Pelodiscus sinensis: one gene and its partner. The protein of the gene in region 2 interacts with the protein of the main gene of each other region in a biochemical or structural test. Links are inferred from orthologs where the notes say so. Each region holds a gene or a part of one and is shown on either strand. Other genes may lie near its edges.

Region 1 (7,341 bases), on a different chromosome or scaffold from region 2:
GGGTTTGGGGCAAGGGGGCTACTTAGTTGGTCTGGTGGAAGGCAAGATGGTTAGCACCTGCACTGCTGCCCATTCCCTTGGTGGTGTAGCTGCCCCCTGGAGCCAATATGCTGTATAGATCTCCCCTGCACTTGCTGCCTCCAGTGCATACTCTCAATATCGTGTCCCTTCCCGCTATGCCCCCTCCCTTTCCATGTTGTGGAAAACAGTCCAATTTCTAGCACTCCCGTTTCCCTGACACAACCAAACTTGCTTTAAGTTAAGCTAAGAGGAAGCTGCAGACTAAATTTGGTGGTCCTAGCTCTTACTGTTTAGGAAGCGTTCTTGAACAAATGGACTCATTGACAGACTTGTGCACATTTCTAAAATATATAGATAGATTGGACGACTATTATATAGTTATGTAAATGCATGAAATCAAGAAACTCTAAACAGATTTCTTAAAGAAGAAGCAACTCATCAACAATGTTGTCCAGCTGGCATATACATTTAAGTAAATTTGCTTATTGATATTTCCTTTAAAATGTGCATGTATGGCTACCAAATTATAAAGACCAGGAGCCTGATCCTATGCCATGATGTGCTACTTGAGCTCCTGATTAATCGGAATTGAGGACCTGCAGCATCTCACATGCATGGCCCAGCACCTTGTAGAAATGGGATCTAAATCTACTTCTCCTGCAGTTTGTCTGGTTCACTGAGGTTTGCCAACCATTGGGAAAAAATTTAGGCCATCTTTGAATGGTGGTTGGGCCAATGTGTAGTGTTTCCAAAGTGGTAAAGAAATGAAAGTGAAAACTTAATTGAAATAAGATACTAGAAATGACTTCAGAAGGTGTCAACCATACTTTAGCTACACGATGAACCCCATATCATCAGTTACTATGTAGGGAATATAAATATGAACTGCTATCCTGTCAGACTAATCTTACTGGACACGAGTCTTTCCTCACAAAAGTGTAGGCTCCTCAATTCCTTGTTCTTTTAACACATTAGGCCCTTTTTCATTTCTGGTAAATGGGATTGGATGTTCTTTGTCAGTCTGGAGAATCTCAGATGACTTGATTCCAGCTGGGTGTTGGATTGGACACTTCACCAGTTAGCTGGTGGAGAATCATATAAAAGTGACCTCCACATATTTCTTATTATATATTTTAGAAATGTGCATCTGTCTGTTCGTCCACCTGCGAGTCCGTTTGTTCAAGAACTCCTAAACGGTGAGAGCTAGGACCATCACATTTGGTCTGCAACTTCATCATCATAATTTAAGGCAAGGTCAGGGTTCGGTTGTGCCAGGATAATGGGATATGCCTGAAATTCAATTGTTTCTATAAAATTGAAAGGGAGGGCTTTGGCAAGAGGGAGTTATAGTGCAGACTGACCACAGGTGGGCAGCAAGGGGCCAGAGATGGGTGCTAGGAAAGTTATAACCCCATTGGGCCAACGGGGGGCAGGGGTGGAAAAAAGTAGTTGTCTACTATATATTTCAGAGAGTTTGTCTGTCTGTCCCCCAGCCAGGGCACATGCACCCTTACCCCAGCTTTGCCCCCTGGAGTTGTAGAAGCCATGGAGAGGCACTTCTTTCCTGGACCCAAGCTGCTGCAGTGTGAGAGGGCTAGGTTTTCCTCTCTCCCCAGGGAAGCCTGCATACTGAACCCTTTACCCCAGCCCCAACCTAGAACAATGATTTAAATGAAGAAAACCAAAAATTATTTGACTTAAGAACCTGAGCCACCCTGGGTAAACCTTCTAGTATTCCTATAATAGGATTTCAATAGACCTGAAGATAACTAAAGATTTTTGAGCCAAAGAAGTTTCACAAGAAACATAGTTAATTTCATTATTATGGTACCATACAACCAAGCTCCTCAAGATCTGAGTCTTTCCATGGCTCAGTGTTCATGTTGCACTCCCAGTCAGTACCTGCTAATGATCCACCCAACAGATCAAATTGGGTGAGGAGTCCTAGTCATGTACCACCTAAGATGCATTGTGTATACACTAAGAATGAAAGGCTTACTCGGTAATACATTTGTACCAATAACCCTCCCAGCCCCCCAAACAAACAAATAACCCAACCTTTTTGCCTTGCCTCCTTCAATCTATTCCTTTGTCTGGTGATAAAACCCCCTTGGGGAGTCAGTCTCTGTGACCAGAACCTGCAGCTGCAACTAGGGATATGTTGTTGAGGGCCTATTTTCATTGCCTAAATCACCACGGAAACTGCCTCAGTGTACTTTGCAACTGCTGCCTTGACAAACGGTCAACACATGCATAAGTTCCAACATCTGGTGGAAAGTCCAAATTGATGGTAGAACATGTTAGAGGTGCCCAACACAGACAGCCATATTTATTTCTGTGGGGATACTGGACTCAATCAAGCAAAAGGCATGACATTCAGAGCACGTCTAGGCAATTATATTATGCCTGAAGTCATTTTATGAGGTGTGAGGCTGAGTGACTATAGCTACCTTACAGAAGGCTAAGAAAATGGAGCTCTGAACTCAGGTCTTCTAGGCACTATTGCAAGCCAAATAAACAATAACATAAAAAGCAATTAAACAGGATTTTTTAATTAGAAAAGGAAACAAAAGTTATTTTGATTTGAACCTTTAAATGATGGAATTTCAGCTCAGTTTGAATGTTTATAAATGATTGGTGTGTACAGGTTGGACCTCACTGGTCTGGCACCCTGAGGACCTGAATGGTCCTAAACTAGGGGATTTGCTGTGCCAGGGAAGGTCCCTGTGCTCCAGCCTACCCCTGCTGCTGTCCCAGCTCCCCAGGGCTCTCTAGATGCTGCCAGCCCTGCTGCTGCCAGGCCAGACCACCACAGCTGGAATTCCACAGCCAGGACAGAACTCCACAGCCATTTGGCTCCGCGACTGGAGCTGGAGATGCACAGCCAAGGCTGGGGCAGAGGGCTGGGGACAGAGCTCCCTGGCCACTGCCTAGGCTGGAGCTCCATGGTGGGCCAGAACTCTCTGCTGTGCCACCGGTTTCCCTCACACACACACACTGGGTTGCTGGTGTCCCCTACCACGCTCCTGCCCCACCGCCAGACCTCACTTTTCCTGGGCTCTGTGGTTGCTGGATCAGGGAGTACTAGTTAAGGGAGGTACAACTTGTATTACCTTTTCTGGGAAAGGGCATTGTGGGAAAGGGCAAAACTGATGGGCCCTTTGCTGATAGGCACGGCAACAAATAGACTTTGCCAGGCCCTGAGCAAGGTGTGTGTATGTGGTGGTCGTGGGGGGGAGAGCAGCTACATGCCCCCAGAAGGGGCAGGGCCTCAGGCTGCCTGGGGACACAAAGGCAATTTAAAGGACCCAATGCTGCAGCCACTGCCATCGCCATCACAATGGTGACTGGGAGTCCTGGGCCTTTTTACATCACTGGGCCTCAGGGTAGCTTCCCCCATTGTCCCTCTTCTTTGTGGGCCTGACGATAGGACTCTAAGATTATCAGTTTTGGAAATATATCACAAAGTCCCACCACCACTCAGTTACAGACATCTTCATGGTATCAGAATGTCTCACAACTTATATTTCACAACACCCCAGTGAGGAAGGGAAGTATTATATTCTGTATGATCCTTATTTTACAGGGGAAGAAGCTGAGATAAAGAAAGAGTAGAGAGCAGAGTTTCACAATAATGTAATCGAGTTTGAGGGCTCAGCTGTAGACATCTATTTCCTGATTGATTTCTGTGGGAGCTGCCAGCACTCAGTACCTCTGAAAATTAGGCTTTTTGTTTTCTAAAGTTTGGGATGCAAAAAATTAAGACCTCCAAAATTACATTCCCCTTTGAAAGTTTGCACAAGATCATGCTTGTCTTTGGCAGAAATAGAACTCAAACCCCTGTCTCTGGGCTGCCGGTGTTTTGCCTGAACCACTTGACTATTCTTCCTCCCCATTAACAGCGTGCATCATTTTGCAGGCAGGAAAAGTAAGTTATGTTAAAGCCAAGGGGAATTAATTAATGTACACAGGCAGACGGACTACACAAAGAAGCAGGAAATTCCTACAGATTCTCCCCTTCTAAAATTGTGCTTTCAAGGTCCTTCTTAGTGTCGACTTTAAACAACCATTATTTGCTCTCGAATTACTTTGGTATTATCAGCTTGCCTTAGTGACAGATTGCTGGATAGCTCTTTTCTTCTTTCCAAAAGGAGCACACCCTTCAAAACAGACTGTTTTCCAAGTTATTAGTTTCCTTGTTATTGTCTCCATACCATTCAGTGATCCAAAAACCCTCCCACCAGGATAGGAAAGGCTAAGTTTCCCCAGCTGGAGACATAGCTTTAGACACTAGCACTCTCATTTGTTGTCCCTGCCTCAGAAGGGGCACAATGTGGTCAGCATGGGATTCTGATAAGGAAAGAGAACCGGCAGAAAGACAGGGATTTTGAGAGCAGCAGAACCGGGCACAACAAAAGGGCTTCAGCTTGACACTGCTCCAAGAAGCAAAAAAGGTCAAGTGCAGGCAGCAAAAGGTGGCAGGCGCACAGCAAATCTGGGGTTGTTACCTTCGAAAGAGACCAGAGAAGTGGAGTTGATGAGTCCCGTTCACTGACCTGGATTAAAAAGGCTGAGGCTGCAGTTATACCAGATGCCAATAGTGCCTTATGGGCTGTAGAGTGAGCGTGGCTTGCCTAGGGAATGAATTTTGCACAGTGCCACTGGATCATCATTACTTGATACAAGACAAGGCTGAGATCATGATTCAGGTATGTGGAATCTGTATACAAATCCAAAGAACTAATATAGGTGAGGCTGGGGGTTGAGGGGAGAGAACAGGAACGTATCAGATTACTTTGGGCTCCCGGCACTGTTTAAAGCTGAAATTGTCTTTTATTTCCCACTCACAAATCCTACAGTCTGCACACGATTTATTTGTTATGTGGTTCTGTATAACAAGGTTGGATATGTGCAGCAAATATGCTTTAATTAAAGAAAATAAACTGAGAAGTCCTGCCAAAGTTTGAGGTGCTGAAATCCATCCCATTCCCTGAATATTATGTGTGTACATAAGAGGAAAAATCCATGTTAGTTTCCAGTAGTCCGGGTCCAAACTCTCACATGCAGAATGTACAGGATAATTTTAATCCACAGTAGCCACAGGGAGGGCCATTGTGGGTTGCTAAATTGTGTGGTTTAGTAAGTAAACAAGAAAGCAATTAAAAGACTCTTTCCCTCTGGGATATTGCATAAAGCTATTGTACTGCTATAAAAAGCAATTCATTAATGAAGCCAGTGTATCTGTGATTGTGGCAACTTGAGCATTATGTGGGTGCACGTCACCCATTGTAACCATAGGATCACCTACCAGGCAAAAGTTGTGAGCAGCAAATACATGTGTTCACACCGGCTATGGACCAGTTGCCTCATTACAGAAAACAGCTTGTCAGTTGCCTGATGGAACACCAGATAATATGTGGAAAATAAAAAATATCATTTAATTTGTTCACAAAATGTAATAAAAGGAAAGGTTTGGGTATCCTTGGAGGTCCTTTGACTACTTTTCTGTGCACTTTGCAACTTTTATTGATGAATTCTTAGCATTGCAGAATAAAGCTGACATGGCTTCTAACCAAAGTTGAAAATTTCCTTTTAATTGATTGCTGGTCTGATCCACTTCAAAGTTTGAGTGTTGAATTCAGCAATTACAATGTTAATAAATGCATATTATTCTCCTATTAATCTGCGAGCTGAACTATGCTTGTCACACTTGCAAGGCATGATTCATCAGTTTCACAAGTGTATCTGCCAGTGTAAGTGGAGTTCCACTAGCATAAACTGAAGTAACCAAGCAGTACAGCTATTCAATATTATCATATTATTAAATGAAAAATGCAATTGATTTGTGTGGAAACCCTGGAAAGAACAACTGTGAATACACGTGGGTGGATCATTTTGGATTCCATGACTTCACTTCAAACTTGTTTTGTGAAAAATCAGATTCAGCTTTTTTTTAATTAAAAAAAATTTTTTTGTGCTCCCCTTGACTTGCTAGATGTGGACAGGACTGGAAGGGTAAGGACCAATATTTCAGGGGACAGGACAATTTCTCAGCAGTTCAGGCACAAATAGGTGTTGGACATGCGAGGAGTTTCAGGCTATGTCTAGACTATGGAGTTTTCCAGAGGTATCCCAGAAAATCTCTGTCACATCCAGGGTATGCATCTGCTCTTCTGACATTTTTTGCAGAAGTGCTCTTTTGGAAGCCCCTGTATTGCTCTTTTCATGAGGAATAAGGGCTCCTCCAAAGGAGGATGTTTTTTCTAAAATGTGGTCCAGTGTAGATGAGCCAAATTTCAGAAAAACCTCTTTCGAAAAAACAATCGGAAAAAGGTACGCAAATTGTGGAGAGCAATTTGCATAACTCTTTCCGATAAAACTCCGTAGTCTAGATGAAGCCTCAGTGGAAATCTTGCTCCTAAGGGAGTTTCAGCCCAGCTTTGCTCATTCTAGAATTTGAAAAGCATCCATACTTTTGTTTGCTAAACAAACCAAGGCTATGTCTAGACTGCCGCTTTTTTTTGGCAATTTGCGTACCTTTTTCTGAAAATTTTGTCGGAAGAGGTTTTTCTGATATTTGGCCTGTCTACACTGGGCCAAATTTCAGAAAAATCTCCTCTTTCAGAAGAGCCCTTCTTCCTCGTGGAAGGAGGAAAACAGAGCTTCCAAAAGAGCACATCTGCTCTTCTGCAAAAAAATGTCAGAAGAGCAGACGCATTTCCTGGACGTGGCGGAGTTTTTCTGCAATACCTCCGATATCCCAGGAAAAACTCTGTAGTCTAGACATGGCCCAAAACTCTGAAGCTTTGAGGATTGCAGAGCTGTAGATCTTCTCCCATGGCTTCTTTGTGCCTTCGTCCATGTTAATTTAGAGGATATGTCTATACTGCAAGTGAAAGTATGAGGGTAGCATGGATGTGACAGCTTTATTCTACCTAGCATGACTAACAAAAGCAGTGTGGGTATGGAAGATGGGCTGTTAATCAGCAGATATACCTAAGGTCACTATGTCTCTCCTATTAAAGCATGCCTTCATGTATAAATCGTCAAATAGTCATTGGAGCAAAGACTTGAACTTTGGCAGCCATATCCTAGGTGAATGCTCTAATCATCAGGATGATCTCCTTTCTCATTTGCTTTTCTTGACTGTTCATAGCCATCATGATTTACCTCTATGAAAGACCATTGGAGAATCATTGGACCTGGGAAAGAGAGCTCTTGAGGCCAATAAGGGATTTCCCCCTTTGTATTTTCCCCTTTGTATATTTTGTATGATGTTGGACAAATCACCATCATATGTAGGATGGGCTGATTCTTTTG
Region 2 (7,120 bases):
CGTCGCCGAGCGCTCGTGGGAATCCCCTGTGAAAAGCCGTCATCGTGCGCTGGCCTCCTCCTCCTCCAGAGATTCTCCAGGACTCCTGGGTCCCTGCCGTGGACAATGTTCCCCATTAGAATGTCAGACCCCCTCCTGGAGAACACTCCTCCTCAGGAGTCCTTCCACTGACAGGCTAGTGGGAAACTGAGGCAGGGGGTTGCCTAAAGCCATACAGCGAAAGCCAGACCTGGGAGTAGAACCTTGAGTCCCAGCTCTCATCACTAGGCCCTGTGCCCCGCCCAGGGCTGGCAGCGGAAGCCAGGTGCTCTGCTTGCAAGGCAGGACACCACCTTGGTTGGGTGATGACTCAGCCAGAGGCTCATTAAGAAACTGAGCCAGCTGGCTGGGGATGATACGCTCTTACATGCAGCAGCCCGGCGTTACTTTCAGTCCCTCCCCCCCCCCCCCCCCGGAAACGCTGCCCTTTCCCCCCCTCCGAGCAGCCCAGTGCCTGCCAGGAGGTCCCCATGGCGTGTTGCTTTCAGGTGGCTTTGCACCGCCCCCCTGCCCTAGAGCCGCTCAGACCCGCATGCTTAGAGAGCCCCCAAAACCGGCTATGGGGGCTCTACAGGAAAGATTCAGTTCAGAACAATCCAGCCAACCTGCGCCTGCCGTGGGGCGCAAGGCCAGGGCATCACAGCAACGGAGGCAGCTCCCTACGTCTTCTAAGGCCTCCATATGGCTCGCTGGGAGCTGCCCCCAGGATGGTAAGAGAACCAGGTCGGCAGACCTGGCAGGCCACTGTGACCAAGAGCTCAGGGCAGGGAGTCTGACCCAGCAACTCACTTCCATACATGGGGGGATGCTGCTTCTTCCCCTCCATACACAGGGAACCAACTGCAGGGGCTGGAAACCATCCCCCAGACTGGTCCCTAGCAGCCAGATCAGAGCCCAGGCTGGCTCCCGGGACCATGAGCTGGCAGGGTGGACGAGACCCATTATAATCTTCACCCCAATAGTTTGCCCTGGTGTTGCCATCCAAGGATCTGAGCCCCCTTCAGCACGAACCAATCAGCCCTGCAAGAGAGAATCAGCGCTCCTCCCCCTGTCATGTGGGGAAACTGAGGCACGGAGCCGGAGGAGGGGAACAATATGCCCACCCTACCCACCCCCTCTGTCACAGGACGTCATTGGGCGCGTGGGTGAGGCATCATTGCCGGCGTGGCAGAGAAGCCGGGTAAGATGGGGGCTCTTTTGAGAGGGTGGCAAAGCGCTAGGTCCCAGCGTCACTCTCAGAGTGAATTGTTCCCGCTGGCCATATGCACGGCTCAGCTGGGAATAAACCCACTGCTCTTTGCACCCTAGGCCCGCCCAGTTGTTTTGTTGCTGATTTCACCAGCCCACGGAAGAGTTTTGAAAGTGCCCCACCCACCAGCGAAACGGCCTTCCCGCCCCACAAACACACGCAACAGGTGCCCAGGGAGCGGGCGGATGGCCGGGCGCCAGGAAACGTTGGCCGTTCAAATAGCACCTTTAATTCCAAGTGCCTTAACTTGCCAAAGCCTGTTCATCAAGTGTACTCAAGAGAGAGGCCCCGCGGAGAGACCTAGAACTTGTAAAGCAAGATACCAAACAGCCCCAGACTTGGCCCTCCCTGCCCGGCCTTATCTGCAAGCATCTCGCTTTCCCGCAGCCGGGTGCACATTCCGACTCGGCCTCTCGGGAAAGAAACCCGAGGCTCTCCCGCATGCTCCCGTGTCTCGTTAATTTCTCCTGCTTAAACCCATAGGGGCTGTGATCTTTGTTGGGGGGGAAAGAAATGCGGAGGGGGGGGGATCCTCCGGGCCCTGACCCTGAGGCAGGGCCATACCAGCACAGACATGATGGTCAGGCCAGGGGCTTGACGTGGCACCTGGCAGATCAGCCTCCTTCCCGCAACCCCCAGAAATCAAAGTCACAAAGAGCCACCCCGGCAGCTGAAGGCAGAGGCGCCGCAAGCGCGAGGCTGATGATTCTCTTCCAAAGCCGTAACCAGTACAGTCCCGCCCCGGCACCCTGCGGTTAGTCCCGCACCTGACTCCCCTAGGAGCAGGCACCTGAATCCCTTTGAGACTTGGGGCCCTGATACTGCCATGAGCTCAGAGACCCAAGAAATTCACTCCAGGAAGGGTTCATGCGGGGGGGGGGGGGGGAGGTCAGACCAAGGCCAGTCCTGGGTAAAAGTGGCTAGTGACTCGGGGGGGCTGGTCACACCCTGCTGCAGCTCGTCGGCAGGTCCCCTCCCATCGGCTCCCTAGGCCACGACCTCCGGGCCTGACCTCTGCAAGGCACTTGCCCACGGTGCCTGTAACCTCCGGTACCAGTGCAGAGTCCAGCCCCCTGCTTCCCGGGAGTAACCTCTGGGCCAGATCCACACCCGCTGGGGGGCTGCCCGGCCCGGGGCCTGTGAGACCCCCTGTCCCGCCCTGCGCTCCCCAGACCCCTGCAAAACACCCAGCGCTAAACTCTGCCCCGGAGCAGGTGGGGGGGGAGGGGTAGTTCTGGTGCCTGTGGGGTGGGGGCAGGGACGGTCGCCCAAAGGGGCATGAGGGGGAATTACGATTTTGGGGGGGTTCGGGGGGGCCCTCTTGGGGCTCTGCCCCTCGGTAGAGCAGGTTCAAAAGCGGAGCCTGAAGCGCGAGTGACACCCGGGATACAAACACCCCCCCGCTGTGCCCGGCTCCGGAGCGACTCCGAAGCTCGCTCCTGCCTTGACTTACCCGCCTGGGAGGCCACGAGCTCCGGGCGCCAGAACAGGACCACGAGCCAGCAGGGGAACCCCGCCGGGAGCAGGATCCTCCGCATTTCTCAGCCGGGGCAGGCAGCCCGGACGGGCTAGGACATGCCGGGCAGAGGCAGCCGCCACCTGATCCCCGCTGGGGCAGGGAGAGGGGCTGGGCCGGGCCAGGCGGCGCCTCTGGCGGCCGGTGCCTCGGTCCGCGTCGGCAGCCCCGCTCCCGTGTCGCCTGCCCGGGCAGCCGCTTTGATCCGCGCTCGGGACACCCGCAGCTGCTGGAGCGGGTACAAACACACACACTCTTCATTCAGGAGTAGCTGCGCCGGCCGCTCATTGGCTGCCCGCCCCAGCCAATCAGAGACGGACCAGCTGAGGGGTGGCGGGGGACTGGGTCTGAGCCCCCTTGTGCCCCCACCCCTCGCCCCCTGGGCTGGGCAGGGCTCAGCCAGTCGCTGATCGTCGGGCAGGTTCCGGCTGCACCAGCCACTGGGTCTCTGCCCCAGGCAGCTTACAATGCCCCAGGCATGGGTCAGAGAAGAGATCCCGCCCTGCGTCCCTCAGCTCCTACCAGACAGTGCGGGGCCTACCTGGCATTGAAATCTCCAACTCCCGTGAGGATCTGGCCCCGGGGGCAGAGACAGGAAATGAACCCAGGTGTCCAAGTGGGGAAATAACCCTATACCCTTTGGCGGGGGAGGCAGACACAGCGGTGGAGGGGGGGCATCACAAGGGAGCATCAGAATTAGAACTCACGTACCCCAGCTACGAGCCTGGGGGCCAACCACGGGCCCATGCCCCTATCTTGCCCCTGCACTCCTTAGCGGGCCTCGCCTCGGCTTCCCACCCGCGTTTTGTTTCTGCAGTTGGCACATGCCACCCCCAAGCTCTGCTCTGCACCTGTCCCTGGTCGCTTGGCCAGTCCAAAACTTCTGCTCCCGCCCATCATCAGCTGCAGAGCACTGCACATCTACAGCTGGGCGCACGTCTACAGCTGGGCGCACGGGCATTGTGGACAGCTGGGGGGGGGCACGTTACAGATTCCAGAGTGGGTGGGGGGAACAATGGCCGCAGTCAGGCGCAGGCCTGAGAGGAAATGAGCTCAGAGATGGAGGCGGGAGGGGAGCTGGGTCGTCAGCAGCATGACGCACTCCTGGTGGGCGCCGGCAACTCCGCACCAGCCCCATGGCGGGCATGGAGCCAGCTCAGCAGCCTGGCAGAGCTCTTCAGGCAGCCCCCCCCCACATTACCAACATCCCCTCCGGAGAGTGGCGACTTGCCCCATTCAGTCCTTGGCACCCAGCCCAGGAAGTCTTAGGGGGCAGGGCCCATCTTTGTGTTTATACAGCACGAAGTCCCGTGACTGGCAGCCCTGGTCTGTGGCTAGATTGCGGGGGGCAGAGCAGGGCTAGCTGCGACCATAATAGACCTATTAAACAGCCTGCAGAACCCAGCACAGCGAGGGGTGGGTTAGTGAGTCGGGCACCAAGAGCTGTTACCATAATGCACCTAATATGAAGAACTGGTTTCAGCCCAACCGCTTCTTTTCATATGGGCCAATATCGGCCATTTTCGGGGACCATTTTCTAATCTCCTTCATGTTCAAGTAGGGACTTAGAGGTGAAAAGCCCCAGGAATCCCTGAGCAATAGGGCCTTGTAGCCCCCCCCCCCCACACCACTTCACTCTTTGCCATAGGGAGTTAGGGACAGTGGAAACACACCTGGTTATTTTTACCCCTTTTTAATCAGAGACTCATGTAGTCAGTCATTGGCCCCAGGTGAATTCTTGGCCCCGGTGAGTTGTTGTGGCAGAGAGTTCCACAGGCCAATCACACACTTTGTTGCCTTTTGTCCCTAGGTCACGAGAGAAAGTAAACAAAGGTTCCCGACAGCCCTTCTCTGCTATCATTTTCAGTCCCTGTGTCCTCTTGGCCAGGGCAGCAGTAAACAGACCCAAACCTTTTCTTTTTCAGGCCTCTAGGGTGGCTCTCTCCTTTCCCAAAGCTGCTGGAGCCTCCAGGAGACAGGACCCCAAACACGCCCCTAAAATTACCAGCCTGGTTGATCAGGATTTGGAGCTGAGCCTGCACCTGTTCCAGCTCTAGGGCGCCCCCCGGTGGCCATTTCAGGGACTTTCTCTTTAGGCCTAAGCTCTGGCTGCTGACAAAGACGCAGGCCACTAGGATGTCACATCATCTCCCCGCAACCTCCAGTTCCTTGCTGGGTCCCCAGCAATTCTCCCAGGAAACGGGGCATCAGCCTGGCAGAGCTCTTCAGACAGCCCCCCCCACATTGCCCCCCCCCCCACATTGCCCTCAGGGCTGGTGCAAAGGGGGCCCCGCCCAAAGATGAACTGGAGCACAGGAGTCTGCTCCCATCCTGCCTGCATCCCGGCTGGGCATGTTCTCCAGACACCCAACACTTCTGGGCCTAGGCTGCAGACAGCTATGGGAGGCCAGGCTGGTAGGGCAAGCAGCCAGACCCTGTCCTTAGCGAGAACAGGGGCCCACTTGGGCTGAGCTAGGCCTGCTTTGCTCCACTTGAACCCACTCAGTGCAATAGCACCACTTAGCCAAGCTCACTCCAGGAGCAGACCATGCTGCTAGATGGCACACGAGCTGGGCAAGTCCTCTTGCACCTACACACAGGGCTCTAAGTGCCAAGCTGGAGGAACCCTGGCTCCCGCTGGATACCCATGCACAGCCCATGGGAGACACGCTCCCTGCACGTGCCAACAGCTAAGGGACAGGACCGGTTGCCCAGCTTGTGCGGTTTCTGCAGCGTTGATTATTTAGCAACCAACAACCCTGACAAGGCCTCCCCAAGTCGTCCCGCAACAGCCACACTCTGCAATACACCCTCCACCCCCCAGTCTGCCACAGATGGGCCTTTGGGCCCCCCTGCCAGCCCAAAGGGTTCATTTTATGCTGTGAGGCCCATCCACCAATTGCCATGATCCCAGGCAGGGCCAGCCCCTGGCATGCATTGAGCCCCCCAACAGGATGCAGCAGAGTTCTGTCCTACAGTAACTGCATGCCTCAGTTTCCCTGAGCACTGTACTAATCCCTAGCTCAGGGCTACTCAACACACAGCCCACGGGCTGCCTGTGGCCCACAGCCTGCTTATGGCCCACAATACAATTTGGCTACGTCCAGATTGGCATGGTTTTCCACAAATACTTTTAACGGAAAAGTTTTTCCGTTAAAAGCATTTGCGGGAAAGAGTGTCTAGATTGGCACGGACACTTTTCTGCAAAAGCACTTTTTGTGGAAAAGCGTCCGTGCCAATCTAGACGTGGCTTTGCGCAAGAAAGCCCCAATCACCATCAGGGCTTTTTTGCACAAAATACCGCGTTGTCTACACTGGCCCTCTTCCGCAAAGCATTTGCACAAGAGGGCTTTTGCCCAAACGGGAGCAGCGTAGCATTTCCGCAAGAACACACAATCTTACATGAGATCGTCAGTGTTCTTGCGGAAATTCAGGCAGCCAGTGTAGACAGCCAGCAAGTTTTTCCATAAAAGCAGCTGCTTTTGCAGAAAAACTTGCCAGCTAGACGCAGCCATCAGGTTTATACAGGGCCCACAGCGGGGATCCTTTGAACATGGCTCCACTGGGAACACACTCCACAATGGCAAATCAATATAATGGTCTTTTGTCGATATGCATTTTAGTAAATTCCTGGACTGTCATGGCTCATTAAAAGTGGTCATAGGGGTGGAAATCGGGTAAATATCGCATTTTAATATCAGAACTGACATAAATGGGGCCTGCATGTTGTGTAGTCTTGCCTGGCAGTGTGAAAGCTATTTGAATATATTTGCATGTATAGGCAACCACTCTTACGTTGCTGCGTGTGTTGTATCATTGTGGCCCCCAGGGCTTCCAAAGTTGAGTAGCCCTGTCCTAGATAGTGATGGGAATTTCAAGAGTGACTTCCATGGAGGGAGACTGCCCCAGCCTCCCTCGCCCCCTCCCCAAAGGCTAATGCCCTCTGTGACTTGAACCAGAGGGGGTACCAGGTGATACCTTTTGCCAGGGAAGCAGGACAAAGGCTGGAGGAGCAGCCTGGGACCAGGACCTGGGAGCAAGTCAGCAGCAGATGGCTTGGGAGGCAGGAGGGCCACAGCCCTGGCTCCGGGCCTCCTCTCCCCCCTCCACCGCCCAAGACGGATGGTACCGGCTGCTTCTGGTTCCTGTGCTGACAAGTCTGTTCTATGGTGTGTCCTTGTGGACTAATATTTTCTGTTCTATCTGCTGAGTTGCATCTAACTGTGGCTAGGAGTGCAGGCGCCTCTGCCCCACACTTTGGGGACACAGCCAGTGAGCTATGGAGAGACTCCTGCCACCCCGGAGAGCATCTAATG

Evidence for each region. The genes of interacting proteins can lie anywhere in the genome.
Region 1: the proteins of ERBB3 (region 2) and TNS3 form a complex in vitro, tested with the Homo sapiens proteins (2 studies listed by BioGRID and IntAct, with this or other methods). The link is inferred for Pelodiscus sinensis from reciprocal best matches to the Homo sapiens genes ERBB3 and TNS3.

Annotation. Positions count from the first base shown.
Region 1 is NC_134712.1:158,286,829-158,294,169, forward strand, and holds the start of TNS3 (tensin-3), read left to right. Parts: upstream 1-4,265; 5' UTR 4,266-4,628; coding exon 4,629-4,730; intron 4,731-7,341. UniProt on the Homo sapiens protein: May act as a protein phosphatase and/or a lipid phosphatase. Involved in the dissociation of the integrin-tensin-actin complex. EGF activates TNS4 and down-regulates TNS3 which results in capping the tail of ITGB1.
Region 2 is NC_134729.1:4,212,911-4,220,030, forward strand, and holds the start of ERBB3 (receptor tyrosine-protein kinase erbB-3), read right to left. Parts: upstream 3,087-7,120; 5' UTR 2,827-3,086; coding exon 2,742-2,826; intron 1-2,741. UniProt on the Homo sapiens protein: Tyrosine-protein kinase that plays an essential role as cell surface receptor for neuregulins.